Macaca fascicularis: one gene and its partners. The protein of the gene in region 3 purifies or fractionates together with the protein of the main gene of each other region. This does not show direct contact. Links are inferred from orthologs where the notes say so. Each region holds a gene or a part of one and is shown on either strand. Other genes may lie near its edges.

Region 1 (4,060 bases), on a different chromosome or scaffold from region 3:
CAGTGTAACCAAAGCTCAAAGTACATCAAAGCAGGACCCATCAGCGGGTACCCAGAAAGCTCCCTCCAAAGGGCAGAGGTAAACACATACATACACACACGCGCGCACACACCACCCCTAAAATTAGTGATCCGTCTTTGTATAAATTACTTGTAGAGTAGCTCGAACCCATTCCTTCAAAAGTTCTGTGGACTCTTGAAGATAGTACAGAACTCAACGTTTGTTTTTCAAAGAGGTTTTAGCCAACACTTTGGCCTCTAACTCAGACTTCCGGGTTGAAATATGTCTTAGAAACTATACCTGCCTACTTCAAAAAGTACCAAATCTAGAGGATGATTTTCATGGGTGTGAAAAAACAAAACTAAACCACATTCTTTTCTTGGCAGTTCTCTTTTCCCCACTCCACTTCAATTAAACTTATTTCAGAATCAACTCGCACATATGCAGGGTCCACTACATATACAAAGGGGAAAAAAATCTCAAAAATAATGGGGATGCACTAGAAACTCTGCCATTGCAGAGACAGAAATTCCTCGCTATTTCCAGCAACACCATTCAACAGGCAAACTTTATTCCCACTGGCTTTTAAAGAGCTAAGCTTAAATCTAAACTCTTAAGAGGGTTCAATTTTCTACTAATGAAAACCCCCGGACAGGTTTTTCAACATACCAAAACGTTATACTTTTTTATTCACCCTTCTGTCTGTCTCCACATCCACCACCATCACAAGCAGCAACAGCAGGAGCATCCTCAAAAGACGAAAACCCCTCCAAAGTGCCCCGAATGTGTGCTGCTGCTGGCTCTGAAGCCGTGTAGAATTTCGTAATGGAATGTGAACTGCTCGTCCGGATCTGGGCTCACGTTCTATCTCCTAACCAGTAAGGAGCGAGAGAGGGCAAATCTGCTGAGCAAGGAGAAATACTTTCCTCCTCTTTTATAACCCATCACGGATGCACGGCTGCCGAGGGGCGCGAGCTGCACGCGGCGCCTGTCAAGCGGCCCGGGCCCGCACCCCGTGGGGTCCCCGCGTCCCCCAGCTCCCCGCCCCGCCCGGAGAGGAAGGCGGCCTAGCCAACCCGTGGGCTCAGCCGACGCGCCCCGCACTCACGCGCGGCCGCGGAGCAGGTCACATCCTCGACGCGCCCTTGGCCCGGTCCAGAAAACACGCCGCTTCCCAGGGAGGGGGTCGGCGACGGGAAGGACCTCCCCTGCTCCTTAGCAACCATTAAGGTCGCAGTTTCCTAAGAGACCGCGAGCGGGGAGGGGGCGCGGGGGGCCCGGCCCTAGGCTTGTGCGGGAAGTAGGGGAGGGCAACAACGGGCCCCCTGCCCCCACCCAGCTAGACGCTGGGGGCCGGGATGGGAGGTGGAAGGGAAGCCCCAGAACTCGCAAAAAACTGGTCCAGCGGGCGGCGGACAAAAGTTTCCGAGCGCGCTCCACAGCTGGGCGGTGGAGCGGGCCCCGGCGGCCGGCCCCGCCTCGGATGCTCCCGGCCTCCTTCCTGTGCTCGTGACGGCGCCGAGCCCCCCACCCCCTCCCCCGCCCGCGAGGCAGGCTAGCTCCACACCGAGGGCTCCCACGAAAAAACGCACCCCGCCAACGGAAGGGCGAGGGAACAATACGTGCCCGCACGGCTCGGGCCCGGTCCCCTCCTCCCCTGGTCCCCCGGGGCAGTGGTCGGCGTGACCACGACCTCCAGCCGGGAACCGGCGAGGGCGCGGGGCTGCCCGCGGCCCCCTCCCGGCCGGCGCCGTCCGCCCGGGAGGATCAAAGTCCGCAGAGCAGGGCGCGGCGGATGCTCCCACCAAGCAGCCCCGAGCAGGCACCCCCGCTCGAGCACCCCGAGCAGACACCCCCAAGCCGGCACCCCCGGATACCTTACGGCGGCGGCGGGAGGGCGGGCGCCGTCATCTCCGCGCTTCCCGGCCCGAGAGGGACTCGAAAGTATGTAGGAGAAAAGTTTCCCCTCCCACATGGGGGGGAGGATGTCGAGGGAGAGAGGGCGGAAGATGGAGAGCAGCGCTGGGAAGATGTTTCTGGCCGGCGGTGCGCGCACCATCCGAGTCCCGGCGGTGCTGGTTAAAAATAAACTCGGCGGCGCGGGTCGGGCCGGATTCCTGCGCTCGGACGGCTAATATGGATGCGCATCAGGTCCTGCTGGCGGGGCGCTGCGGCGGCTCGCGCTGGGAGCTGGTTGGCAGAGCCAGCGGCTCGGGAAAGGGAAAAGAGCGGAGGAAGGGGAGGAGGAGGAGGAGGAGGAGGAGGAGGAGGAGGAGGAGGAACGGCCCGGCGCGCAGCCCGAGGGGAGAGGGCTGCCCGGCTCATCCCTGGCCGCCCCGCCAGCCCGAGCGCACGCTGCGCGGCGTGGGGCGTGCGGGTCCCCGCCTGCGGGACACGCCGAGTTTCTAAAGTACAACGCGCTCTGCAGACTTCACCCTCCCCATCCCCAAAGTTCTTTAAAAGGTCGCTCCGGCTGTGCCCCACATGTCTCGCTGCCGCCGGAGTACCGCGAGTCGGAACCCGGGGCACGTACTTACGGCCGGGCAGGACGCTTGGCTCCCAGGCATGATGCGTTGGGGACCGGTGGGCTTCAGGGAGAGACCGAGGAGAGATGCAAACTTGTTCCGGAAAAGGAATCAAAATGGCGTTTCTGGATGTGCAAAGTTCATCAACTCCGCAGTCACTTCCCCTCCTCCTCTTCTCCCACAGGGAGGGAGGTGGGCGAGGAGCTGGCGACCCCAGCGCCCCAGCCGTCGTCCCGGCCCCCGTCTCGGCCCCCCGCCCAGCTTCCTCGCCCGCACGCTCGGAGTCTCGCTCTCCCCCTCTCACCCTGATAAGTAGACACATCACGTGTTGCTCCTGCGAGTCTCCTGGGGACGTGTTACTGAGCGGCCGCGGCGGCGGCGGCGGCGCTCGGACTGGGGGGGTGAGGGGGAGGACCGCGGTACCCGCCTGTCCCCACCGCCGCCCCCGCCCCGACTTTAGCAGGATGACCGCAGTTGCCATCCCGGGAAGGATGGAGGTGGAGTCCCCTCCCCACCCCCCACCGCAGCCCCAGGTTTGCCCTACGCCCTCCCAAGGCGCCCCGGGCCATGGGAGGGCCGGGCTGCCCGAGGGTAAGGGTCCGGGAGGCCGCGACTGAGCGCGATCCCAATCGTCCCTTTGCTCGCAGGCCACCTTCGGCCACCGCGCCCCCTCCCCTGCAGCCCCTCGCCGCGGGCGACTCCCCGCCCCCGGCTTTCCATCACTTCACTCCGCAGTTTGTTTCACTATTTTAACAGAGGCGGGGGAGACACGGTGATGCCCCGGAATTGCGAGAGGGGCGCCTCGGAGGCGCTGGGGTTGGGGGGATGGGGGGCGTGGGGCTCGGGGTCCCTGGCCTGGCGCCGCCCCTCTGGGTCTGCGAGGCATCTGGGAAGTGGAGCCCCGCCCGAGCCGTTTCCTTTCCACGCGGTCCTCGCTCTGCATCCAGGTGGGGCGAGTGGATGATGGGGCAGGAGATTAAGGAGCAGGCGCTTCACCCCGCCCCTGGCTTCGAGCTGTTTCTCTCCCGGGGCCATCCTTCTTACTCGGGCTGCCGCCCTGAGCGTGCTCGCCGTCTAACAAACTCAACTCCGACTCGACTTTGGTCCCCTTCCCTTACCCACACCCCACAAAGGATGCTTCAGCGGGGAACTGCGTGACCGCCAGGGGCTGAGGACGGCTCCTGCCGCTACTGTGTCCCCACCCCGCGATGGAATGGCTGATGCTGTGTCATCCACGTCGCCCTCCAAGGCTTCAGAGAAGCCACACGCAGTATCTCTTTCTCTCAGAGGGCTCTTGTTTCAACTCTGAAAAGCAGGGGCCCTTCTCGGAGCCGCTCTCCATCTCTCTAGCTCCTGCCACTACGCTTCGCACTGGCTGCCTTGCCCCAAGTTATCACGGAGCCCAGAGAAACCAGGCCTGGGCTGTGCTTCCTCCATAAAGCAGCTGACATGTTTCCAACTGTTAATACTTCTGCTACCGAGGTTCTGAAAGGGGTCTGTTCTCGGCCTTTGGAAACATCTTCAGACAGATAAGG
Region 2 (4,157 bases), on a different chromosome or scaffold from region 3:
TTAAAGTTGTAATTCAAAATTATCAGTGAGTAAATATAATGTTTTTTTTCCAGATACAAAATTTTTCAAAAATTCTATTTATATAAGCAGAAAAATAAAAAAATCAGAAAAAATATTTCATATTACACATATCATAAAACTAAGTTATTCATTTATAGCTTCCTGAAATTTTGCAAATTAATTAAAATAAATATTGCTACTAATATTAACACTAACAATATATAATTGTTTATTGACAAAGGTACGTAAAGGTAACATCTTTTCATAAGGAGAGTATCAATTTGGAAAATTCATTTGCTAAAAGCTGCATTTGAAAGGTTTTAAGTCTGAATTCAGCTGATGAATGCAGATATGAACCGATGGTTCAAGACCTGTAGACATACCTAGTTTACCACACTGATCTTCTTAGTATAAAAAAACAAGCGTTACTAAGAAACATCTACTTTCAGCAAATGGACATGACCAGAATGATACATAGAATGATGCAAGAAATTTCACTCTACCATTCATTTTAATCTTTACAGTAACAGGATGATTGCTATCTCAATCTGTCATTTTACCTTTTTTTTTTTCAGAAGTTAAAGTGTATCCATACAAGTTCAACTTAACATTGTTAAGTGCAAAGTTAACAGTGTACACTTTGGAGATACGTTTTTAAGTAGAAAATGATTTTTTGTTTTCTAATAAGTTTTCCCAAGTAATATTAAAGAATGTTAAATATGTCATTTACTTGGAGAAAATAGAAAACCATGAGAAAGTTTGGGAAAATGCTATATTTCAGAGCTTAATATACTGAAACAGTAAATAAGACAGGAATTGGCTACCTTTTAAGAACGTTTACAAAAAATACAAATTGAATAGGAATGCTTTTGGCAAATAAAAATCTGACCTGAAACATTCAATGGCCACAGCATTCAAGAATGCTATATGAGATCCTTTCCCTTTAACCATCCACATATTGATATTTGCAGTCATCCTCAGTAGAATATGTATCTTTTTAGAATAAGTATATGTTTTAAAATATTTACTGGAAAGATTTAACTGAAACTATTATTATAGTTCAACTTCAAATATTTTAGCCACATAAGTTCACTTTACACACAGAAGAAATGACACCTTCTTTACTTAATTACTTAATCCACGTACTCTTTCTTTTACAAAATCGCATTGGCACTGAGGAAGAAAAAAATTTTCGAAAAATCCCCCAAAGAACCAAAGCAGGACAAAAGCTTTACTTCTGCAAAGGTTGCTGCCAACACAGGAAGTGTTTAAAAATACTATCCGAATGGACAACAATTGAAAGGCTGCACCAGCCTTTCCAAAGTACTGCCACAGAGAGGGCCCAAACTCCGCATTTAGACACACAGATCATTTCTCACCCATTCAACACATCCTCCTATGCCGAAACTGCTGATCAGTAGGAACATCAATTTTGAGGAGCAAAACAAATGACATTCCACGGCACTAGCCTTACGACTGGCAGTGTCCAAGGCGCGAGGATCGGGGCAGCGTTGACTCCACTTACCTTCATTTTTGTTGGTGATCTGTGGGGTTCCAGCTCAGCGAGCTATCGTCGCAGTCGCTAGAACTACGGGGAGGGGGAAAGAGGCACAGACAGAATCAGTCAACTGCGGGGAGCGACCAAGGGAAAGAAAGTAAACAAACGCCAGCGGGGAGGGGCAGAATCCTCACCAGCCAAGGAACAAGACCCCTTCTGAGGGCAGCCAGGATGCAGGAGCGGAGGGGGCAACAAGAACCCCACGCGCGCCAAAGGGCAGCCCGTTCCGCCCCGGAGCTTGCCAGAGGCCCACCGCGCCCCCGCCTCGCTGGCCACTTTGACCCGGAATGCTGAACTCGGAGCCCCAGGACAGATAGCTCCGGAAAAGGGCAGGGCGCCGTTCGGGCTTCCCCAGGTCCCCCGCGGAGGCGACCGCCGGGCCTCCGCACCGCTGTCCCCTGGATACCCCGACTTCGGCCCGCGCCCCGCCTCCGCTGCTCGGCCCCCTCGGCCCGCCCCGGGCCCGCGGTGGCGGCAGCGGAGTGTCACGGCGCCATTGCTCTCCTTCCTTTGCTCTGCACCATGTCAGGAAGGAGAAGCGCTCCTTCACCCAAAGGGGCAGGGGCCGCGGCCTTCAGCCGGGAGCCGCCAGAGCCCCGGGAGACCCGCGCGGGGGAGGGGGCGGGGGACTGAGGGGAGGAGGAGGGGAGGTGGCCCGGACAGGGTGTGGGAGGGGAGGGGAGCCGCACCGCAGCAGCCGCTGCCTCCTCCCAGCGCCCGCCTCAACTTTTTGTACAGCCCAGAGACGTATCAGCTCGCAGCCCCTCGAGTCCTGCCACGGACTCCGCAGAGGTGGACGCGCCGCGGAGTTGGGGAACGGCTCCCCCAAGCAGCCCGCTCCTCACGGCGCGGAAGCAAACTTAGCGGCGCGGCCAGCCCCACAGCCATTTTCCCGGGAACCCGGGGAAGCGGACGAGGCGGCTGCAGCTGCGGCGGCGGTTCCTGCAGTTGCTGCCGCTGCTCCATGGCTGGCCCCTTCTCTTGCGCTCGCCGCGCCACTTGCCTAGCATCCCTCTCCCCACCTCCGAAGCTTCCAACTGCACCGGGACCCCGGGCAGCAGCAGCTGCTGCCACTGCCGCTTCATCCATTCAGTATCCCCCGATTCCCCTCTCCCCGCCTACCAACTGCGGGTGAAGTGCGCACTGTCAGCTCCAGAGTCCTCCTCCCCTCTGACCTCCGTGGGCCCCCGTCCGGGCAGCACCACTCCCAACCGCGGCTGCAGTTCCTGCGCCCGGTTCCCCACTCGCCCCGATTTACTGCCACAATCCACCGAATAACAAGCTGTTGAGCAGACTCGCTTCTACACGAACTCCTATTGGCTGTTCATGACGCCGAAGAGCTTCGGATAGGACCTCGCTACCTGCCGTCCTCATTGGATGTAGCTCTGAAACTTCATGGATTGGTGCGAAAAACAGCAGGTAGGACATCTTCCACTTATGATTGGCTTTTTCCGAAGACCAACGTTATTGGAGAGTTGGTTATTGAGTAAGCAAGTCTTGAGAAATGATTGGTAGAGACGACTCCGGATGTGCTTGACTGGGCACTGATTGGTGAATTGAGGGGTCAGGAAGAGCAGTTCGGCACGAGGATTGGCGGCGGAGTGTCCCATGGAAACGGAACCCAGAATTGCAGCCAGGGGCTTGCACGGGGGCGGGGCAGGGTCTTTCCAAGGCGCCTGCGCTAAACCAGGTTCTCGGCGCCATTTTGTCTCGGCAGCGGTCGCCGTAGCTCCATCGCATTTTATGTTTCTGGCAAGAAGGGAACGGAGTTTTCATCAGGTAGATTGGTTTTTGTGCGTCCGTCCTCCACCGTTTCCTCCAGGACAGCACCTAGTCTTGGCCGGAGGAGTCTCAGAGCTGTCAGAAAGGTCAGTTGGAGGCTATGGTTGTCCGATTGACTGGGGGGGATGGCGCAGCCCTAGCGGCACCGGCACCGGAAGTGAAGGGGCCGCAGGAAGCCATGGTAAAAGTTCTCCCTGCGGCGAGGTGGGGAGAAGGGGCGGGATGAATGGGGGCGAGGCTTCCTCTCCCGCCGAGAGAAAGAGGTGGAGGAGAGGCAAAAGTCTTTCTTGGCGGTGCTTTTTCGGGCTTTCGAGAATGTGAGAGATTTTCTGAATTCTGCCTCTGTCTGAGCAGTCTTTCCTGTCTTTGGAAGTGCATTTTGGATACTTGCCATATTCTCCACCTGATTGGCACAAACTATGGGAGTCTCCTTAGTTAAGACAGGTCAGAAGTGATTCTTGGAAACATTCTGCATGGGTAGAGGTTTCCGCGTGCTCCTCACGCGAAAAAGCTATGAGGAAACTGGAGAAAGCGCTGGCTTTTTGGATGCTGAGGAATTTACTTGCCAGCACAGACGGTGCTTCTGTGACCTTAGACAAGCGTCTGTGTCCCTCTGCGCGAGGCTTATGCTGCTTTTTGAAAGGAAAGATTGGTTGTGCAGGGACTGAAAACATCTTAAAAGGACGTCCCCGATAAGATAGACGTTGGTCTTGTTCTGTTAACATTTTGTATTCTGTTAAACGAAACATATTTTTAAATAGTGGAATTGGAGTATAAATTGGCTAGTTGTTTTATAGAATGGAGTAATTTTTTAAAT
Region 3 (3,560 bases):
CCCAGCACTTTGGGAGGCCGAGACGGGTGGATCACGAGGTCAGGAGATCGAGACCATCCTGGTGAACACAGTGAAACCCCGTCTCTACTAAAAAACTACAAAAAACTAGCCGGGCGAGGTGGCGGGCGCCTGTAGTCCCAGCTACTCGGGAGGCTGAGGCAGGAGAATGGCGTGAACCCGAGAGGCGGAGCTTGCAGTGAGCTGAGATCCGGCCACCGCACTCCAGCCTGGGCGACAGAGCGAGACTCCGTCTCAAAAAAAAAAATAAATAAAATAAATAAATAAATAAATAAATACATTATCTTCACTTATCCCCTCATCCTTCACTAGGAAATAGGCACTAATGTCTTTTTTTTTTTTTTTTGGTCTCACTCTGTTGCCCAGGCTAGAGTGTAGTAGTACAATCACGGCTCACTGCAGCCTCGACCTTCCAGGCTCAAAAGATCCTCCCTCCTCAGCCTCCCGAGTAGCTGGGACCACAGGTGTGCACCACCATGCCCAGCTAATTTTTTAATTTTTTTGTAGAGATGGGGGTCTCACTATATTGCCCAGGCTGGTCTCAAACTCCTGGCTGGGCTCAAGCAATCCTCCCACCTTGGGCTTCCAAAGTGCTAGGATTACAGGCATGAACCGCTGTGCCTGTCCTGTCTTCCTCTTAAAGAGGGAAAACAGGTCGGGCACGGTGGCTCACGCCTATAATCCCAGCACTTTGGGAAGCCAAAGCCGGTGGATCACCTGAGGTTAGGAGTTCGAGACCAGCCTGACTAACATGGAGAAACCTAAAAATACAAAATTAGCCGGGTGTGGTGGCACATCCCTGTAATCCCAGCTACTCGGGAAGCTGAGGCAGGATAATCACTTGAATCCGGGAGGCGGAGGTTGTGGTGAGCAGAGATCGCCCCATTGCACTCCAGCCTGGGCAACAAGAGTGAAACTCTGTCTCAGGAAAAAAAAAAAAAAAAAAAAGGAGGGGGCAGGGAAATAACACCAGAGGGGCCAGGAGACCAAAGATTCAAACTAAGACATGAAAGCTTATTTTCTTACTTTAATAGCAAGCTGCTTCTCTAGTGACAGCCCACTCTGCTGAGAATAGAGCCTGATCCTTGGCCTAAATGGGTTATGGAAACCTCTAAAGCCATCTACAGGAAAGGCATGAATTTGCCTCATCTTGGAGGGAAATAAGACCCTGCAATTCAGAGCAAACACCTCACTCACAGCAGCTGGCAGCTCCTGGAGTTGTCAGTAGCAAAGAAGCTTAATGCTTCAAGGAAGGTCTCTGTGGTTCTGTCATCAATACCACTGTACAGTTATTATTAGTTATAATAATAGTTATAAATACCTTTCTTCCTTGGGAATAAGACTACCTTGTGGTCAGCAGCAATAAACAAGTGCCGCATATTTTCTGACACTTCAATCTAAGCTGTCATAAATTAATCAAAACTTCTTCTGGTCAATGCTGTTACACTATATGAAGTCTTAGGTGCTAAGAGATAATTTCTAAAATAACACAAGGGGGAAGTCAGGTATGATAGTTTTGTTCTAGAATCTGTCCTGAGTGGCCTCTAAATTCTCAATCAATACCCACTAAGTTAAAACAGTTACAGTTGGACAGAAATCAGAGATCACGTGGCCCAGTCCACTTTACAAAAATCTGAGAAGTGACTTGCCCAGTCAGCTGAGAGTTAGAGTTAAATTTTACTGTATCTACTGTCTCTCCGTCCCAGGTCAGTGCTTTTTCCACTACAATAATTACAGTACTCTTGGGACAGTGTTGTGAACATAACCAGAAAAAGTACTACCTCTATTGTTCACAAATCAGGAAACATGAAAAACCCGACTTGAGGGGAAAAAGCACTCTGGCACCTTTAGGAGGTAGGGGAAATCTGGTGTCCACTGAATGGGAGGTGCCAGGACAGCAGAGCGGGCCTCTGCAGTGGAAAGTAAGATGCAACTGGGGGCTTGGGAGTGTGGAGGAAAAGAATGGACTTACATCTCTGCATCTGCTTGCTGTACTCCGACATGTTATCTGGACGGATGGAGCGCAAGAATTTAATGTAGTCGTCACTATGGTACTTGGTCATCTCCTCAGCATTGGCTTTGTGAGGGCGCTAGAGGGCAGAAGGGAGAAAGGGCAAGTTATTTTTGACCACGGCCAGTCCACTCAATCTAGTTTGAATATTTCTATTTCCTGCGCAGCACGGAGCTAGGTGCTATAAAGAATAAAAAGAAATAACTGATTAGATTCAGGCCTCAAGAGATTTACAAGATAACTAGGCAAACAAGATTACCAAAGGAGACAGAGTATCAGAAGGCCTAGAGTAACTCAAGCTCTGTTGCTTAGGCAAGTTACTATCTCTTGAACCTCCATTTCCTCATTTATTAAACAGGGACAACATGGACCACACAGGGAAGTTAAGAGAATCGGAAGAGGTTGTTAAATCTCTTTGTAAACTGTAAGGTGCTTCACAAAATTATTATTATTATTTATTTATTTATTTATTTATTTATTTATTTTATACGGAGTCTCACTCTGTTGCCCAGGCTAGAGTGCACTGGGACAATCTCGGCTGACTGCAAGCTCCGCCTTGTATTTTTAGTAGAGACGGAGTTTCACAGTGTTAGCCGGGATGGTCTCGATCTCCTGACCTCGCGATCTGCCCGCCTCGGCCTCCCAAAGTTCTGGGATTACGGGCATGAGCCTCCACGCCAGGCCTTTTTTTTTCTGTTTTCTTTTTTTGTTTTTTTTTTTTTGAGGCAGAGTCTCAATCTGTCACCCAGGCTGGAGTGCAATGGCGCGATCTCGGCTCATTGCAACCTTCGCCTCCCGGGTTCAAGAGATTCTCCTGCCTCAGCCTCCCGAGTAGTTGGGATTACAGGTGCCCACTACCAAGCCAGCTAATTTTTGTAGTTTTGGTAGAGACAGGGTTTTGCCATGTTGGTCAGGCTGGTCTCGAACTGCTGACCTCAGGTGATCCGCCGGCCTCAGCCTCCCAAAGTGCTGGATTACAGGCGTGAGCCACCGTGCTCGGCCTACAAAATTATTACTTTTTATTATTAAATATTATATAAAACTGGCTGGGTGTGGTGGCTCATGCCTATAATCCCAGCACTTTGGGAGGCTGAGGCGGGCAGATCACCTGAGGTTAGGAGTTCAAGACCAGCCTGACCAATATAATGAAACCTGGTCTCTACAAAAAACACAAAAATTAGCTGGGCGTGGTGACATGCACCTGTAATCCCAACTACTCAGGAGGCTGAGACAGGAAAATCGCTTGAACCCAGGAGGTGGAGGTTGCAGCAAGCTGAGATTGCGCCACTGTACTCTATCCTGGGCAACAAGAGCGAAACTCCCTCTCAAAAATTAAAAATAAATATGTATATATATGTATCATAAAATTATGGACAAAATGGCTCCAAGAGTTCATGAAAAAAGGGTATCTAATGACAACTGAAACAGATGGGAAATCCTTTATAAGTCATCACATCAACAATTTTTATCACATCCTCCCCTTGCCACTTTCTTGACAAGATAATTTCCTGGTTATCCCAACATTCTGATT
Region 4 (3,990 bases), on a different chromosome or scaffold from region 3:
GAAAAAAAGCAGGTGTCACCGTGGCAGCTTTTATTTTATAACTTAAAACATGATTATGTTTATTCTCTGCTGCTAGGTCGCTGAGCATCAACGTATTTACATCCCCTTTGAAGAGAAGCTTTAAAACTGGCAAGTATGCAGGTGGACTGTATGACACAGTTTTAGGGGTGTAGACTACACTCCACTGTAGACTACTCGACTGTTGACTCTCAGTGGCACTGGCGTATCACTTCTTGCACTTATGATGGCTTCAATTACTGGCCAATTCTTTGTTTAGCAAATAAACTACAAGTTTATTAAATGAGAAATGCCCAGTTTAAAAGGACGTCCTATTATTGGTAAATTACTATGCTCTTAAAAATTGCCTTCTTGTCCAGGAGCGGTGGTTCACCCCTGTAATCCCAGCACTTTGGGAGGCCGAGGCGGGAGGATTGCTTGAGCCCAGGAGTTCAAGACCGCCTTGGGCAACATGGCAAGACCCCTGTCTCTTATTAAAAAGAAGAAAGAAATAAAGAAAAAAATGACCTTTTAACAGTTTGAAAACATCCTGGATGCACACCAAGATCATTCAGAATGCAGTGGAATTTACCTTACCAATTTATAATTTTGGTTTGTGATAAATTAGACAAATGAGAATTAAAATGGCATAATCCCAATTCCGTATTAAACTTTCAGGGTACTCCCACACTAAAACGCTAGTGGTGTGTACAACTAGCCCTGGCGCTCCAGCGGGGGTCGGCATAGATTTACATTAGCAAGGACACGGCAGCACGTTTAAGTAATCCCAGAGCCTCCCCCCTCCCCGGAGTTCTGATAATTCTGACCTTCTTTATGCTTTTACGCTTTATTTTACTAAAATAATACCGTGAGAAAATGAATAGAATCGATGCTCACAAACTCAGTGGGCCCATTGTATGATGAAAGAGCTAATGAACAATGCAGCTGGGGGAGGCGGGGAGCGAGAGCCGGGTTATATCCCCAAGGCATAATTAGGAGTTCACGTATTCGGGTGGAAGTTCCTGCAGTAAAAGGCGTAGCTGCAGCTTCTCCTGGCCCAGGCACTCGCCTACTCTGCTACCCTCGCTTCTTTATTGCCTCTTTTACTACCAGCTAAAAGCGGCAAAACCTAGCTTCCTTTGCAGCTTCTGGCTAAACACTTCTTTCTTGCGGCTTTGTTTAAACAAGAACGATTTAGGGGTTTCGCTACAACGAGAAAACGACGCCGGCCACGGGAAGCAGCCTCCTCGCCTCGGAGTCCGGTCGGGGGGTGCGGGCCGCGCGGGTCCCACGCCCCGAGGCTAAGCAGCCGAAACCACAGCGCGCTCGGGGCCAACTCGGGTTGTATCGCTGGCGCAGATCGCACGTCGGGCGGAAGCTCGAAGCCGCCGGCTCAACGCGCTCAGCACCTGGGACTGGGCCCGGCCTGCAGCCGCAGGGAGCGGGCGACAGGGGCGGCGCCACAAAAGCCGACGCGTCCCCAGCCCGCCTGAGCGCGCCGCAACAGCCACCTCGCCCCACCCGCCCCGCGGGGCGGGGGCCTGGCCAGGGGCGGGGCCGGGGGCGCGGCGCCGGGGCCCTCTGGCCCCCTCCGGTCTCGCCGGCCCCGCCCCCGGCCCCGTCCCTGTCCCCGTCCCCGAGGGGCTGAGGGGGAGGGAGGGGCGACGCACTCCGGCCGCGTTGCACGCTCGCCGCTTCTCTCAGTCCCGCGTGCGCGCGCGCGCTCGCCGCAAGTCCCGCGGAGTTTAACACAATGCCGACGCCTACGCCGTGCGCAACGCCCCGGCCGGCGCAACAGCCCCGGCGCCGGGGGCGGGGGTGGCCCAGACAGGGAGAGGGGATGAGCGCGCGCGAGAGCCGGAGACAGCGCGAGACCCGAGGAGGCCGGAAGCGCGCGTGCGCGCCCCCGCCCGCGAGCGGGAGGCGGAGCCGCAGCAGTAGCGGCAGCAGCTGTAGGAGCCGCTGCAGCTGGGAGAAGCGCCAGAGAGGCCGGGCCTGCTCCGGTCGGACCGGATCCCTCCCTTCCCCCTCCCTCCTCCCTCCCCTCCCCCAAACCCACTTCCGCAGCTCGCGGCCTTGCCGCCGAAGCAGCAGCGGCGGCAGCAGCAGGAGGCGGCGGCGAGGCGTCGGAAGGATTACACACCTGACGGGCCCGCCTCCGAGGGCTCCAGCGCGGGACGCTCACCGGTCGCCGCCGCCCAGGGCGCACTTCGCGGTGGCGGTGGGAAGGGAGGGACCGGCCACGGGGAACGGAACGCGAATCGCCCCCCTCCCCTTCCTCCCTCCCTCCCTCCGATCCGCCGCCCGCCCTCTCGGCTTCCGTCCCCTCCCCCTCCCTCAAAACCCCGGATGGAGCCGCTGCCGACTCGCCGCCGCCTGGCTCCGGGGGATGGTTTTGTCAAGCGGCCAGAGCCCCGGCGCCAGGCGCAGCCGCCGCCGCCCCCGCGAGGCGCCCCTGCCCTCGCTTCCCAGAACCGGGTCCCCGAGTGGCCCGGGCCCTCCGCCTGCCTGCACCCGGAGCCCTGGGACGAGGGTCATTCGGCGTCTTTGTTGCCACTGCCGCTGCCGGAACCGTTTGCGAGCTCCGGTGGCCCCCGCCCCCCCCTCCGCCTTCCCGGACCCTGGGCTGGGGGTGGCACGTGGGCACCGGCCCCGGGAGGCGGAGGCGGTGCGCGCTTACCTGTCGCCGGTGCTGCTGCGGCGGGGGGTGTGGAGGAGGCGCCGCTGGGCAGCCTCGGCCGTGCTGTCCTCCCCGCCGCCGCCGCCGCCTCTGCCTCTCGCTGCTGCTGCTGCTGCTGCTGCTGCCGCCGCGGTCGGTGTCTCCGGCGCGGCGGCGGCGGCGGCGGCGGGGCTTTTCCTGTCCGGTTACGTTAAGGTCACATGACCGAGAGAGCGGAGAGACTTGTGCAAAGAGGCTGCGAGCGGCTCCCGCCGGGGGGGAGAGGCGGCGAGAGAGCAGTGGCGGCAAGAGCCCCCTCCGCCCCCCCCCAGCCGCTCCCCTCCCCCCGCCCGCCTCCGCCTCCTGCTGCTCTGCCGCCGCCGCCGCCGCCTGCAGCACTCCACTGCCGCTCCCACCCAGGCTCCGCGCTCTGCTCCAGCCAAACTTCTGCAGACCATGTGCAGCCGAGGCGAGGAAACTTCTCTCCACCTATTGGGGCTGGAGGCCTGAGTCACAAGCCCCCTTGTTTACATAAAGTGTTTAGGTAGGACAAGTCCTTGAGATGCTCGGGGTAGAGATGGAGAGCCGCTGCTCGTATACTTCTGCCGGCTTCTGCTTGAGATCTTTTGGCCGTTACCCTTGTCCCTTGACTTTCCGTGTTTGTTTTAAATCGGGGAGATACTGTAAACCAGTATCTTCCTGTCACCAATGGTAACTGAAAGTCATGCCGAAGTACAGATGCCTGTACTGTGCACAGAGGTAGAGTTGCTTCCTTTTCCTTGCAGATTAGTTGAGCGACGTAAGATGTTTCTGTTAGGGTTGAATTTGATAGTTATTTCAGCAACTGGATTTTCGTTTTTGAAGTTTTGGCCTCCCAAAAATGAAAGTCTGCAACGCATGTTTGTTAACAATTTATTCTCCTGTTAGGTTTTGGTCTTTGAGGTATGGATTCCAGTGTTGGCTATTCTGTTAGATTTAGAGGTTTGGAAAATCTTTCAACGGGGAGATCCTGAAACATGGCAGATAAGTTAGAATTTCCTGGTCATTTTTAATTTTTTAAAGTTTTGGTTGCCATTTTTCTAGAATTCGTGTGTTTTTTGGGGGAAATGCAGTTTAGTTCTTTGAGGATTGGAATTTAATGATATCTTTACACATCTAGGATTTTTTGAGATTTAGAAAGGATATGGCTGCATTCTTAAGGAAGTGGAGGCAGCAGTTTCTGGGATACTCTGGTTTCAAGTCATGCTAACCTGGTTATGATGTCTAACCCATGTTGGTTTACACAGTCTGACCACCAGCCAATGCCTGGCACATAGTTTAAATCATTTAAGGCA

Evidence for each region. The genes of interacting proteins can lie anywhere in the genome.
Region 1: the proteins of HDAC1 (region 3) and RREB1 purify together in Homo sapiens (co-immunoprecipitation; 6 studies listed by BioGRID and IntAct, counting the BioPlex papers as one, with this or other methods). This does not show direct contact. The link is inferred for Macaca fascicularis from reciprocal best matches to the Homo sapiens genes HDAC1 and RREB1.
Region 2: the proteins of HDAC1 (region 3) and ARID4A purify together in Homo sapiens (co-immunoprecipitation; 7 studies listed by BioGRID and IntAct, counting the BioPlex papers as one, with this or other methods). This does not show direct contact. The link is inferred for Macaca fascicularis from reciprocal best matches to the Homo sapiens genes HDAC1 and ARID4A.
Region 4: the proteins of HDAC1 (region 3) and ZBTB2 purify together in Homo sapiens (affinity purification with mass spectrometry; 5 studies listed by BioGRID and IntAct, counting the BioPlex papers as one, with this or other methods). This does not show direct contact. The link is inferred for Macaca fascicularis from reciprocal best matches to the Homo sapiens genes HDAC1 and ZBTB2.

What each region holds. Positions count from the first base shown.
Region 1 is NC_088378.1:165,898,731-165,902,790, forward strand, and holds the start of RREB1 (ras-responsive element-binding protein 1), read right to left. Parts: upstream 2,856-4,060; 5' UTR 2,830-2,855; exon of another isoform or gene 2,534-2,829; intron 2,224-2,533; exon of another isoform or gene 1,878-2,223; intron 1,201-1,877; exon of another isoform or gene 1,109-1,200; intron 823-1,108; exon of another isoform or gene 670-822; intron 1-669.
Region 2 is NC_088381.1:126,146,201-126,150,357, reverse strand, and holds the start of ARID4A (AT-rich interactive domain-containing protein 4A), read right to left. Parts: upstream 2,856-4,157; 5' UTR 2,681-2,855; intron 2,190-2,680; exon of another isoform or gene 1,693-2,189; intron 1,589-1,692; 5' UTR 1,532-1,588; coding exon 1,526-1,531; intron 1-1,525.
Region 3 is NC_088375.1:202,705,693-202,709,252, forward strand, and holds part of HDAC1 (histone deacetylase 1), read right to left. Parts: intron 2,109-3,560; coding exon 1,991-2,108; intron 1-1,990. UniProt on the Homo sapiens protein: Histone deacetylase that catalyzes the deacetylation of lysine residues on the N-terminal part of the core histones (H2A, H2B, H3 and H4).
Region 4 is NC_088378.1:59,585,854-59,589,843, forward strand, and holds the start of ZBTB2 (zinc finger and BTB domain-containing protein 2), read right to left. Parts: upstream 2,856-3,990; 5' UTR 2,678-2,855; intron 2,312-2,677; exon of another isoform or gene 2,141-2,311; intron 1-2,140. UniProt on the Homo sapiens protein: May be involved in transcriptional regulation.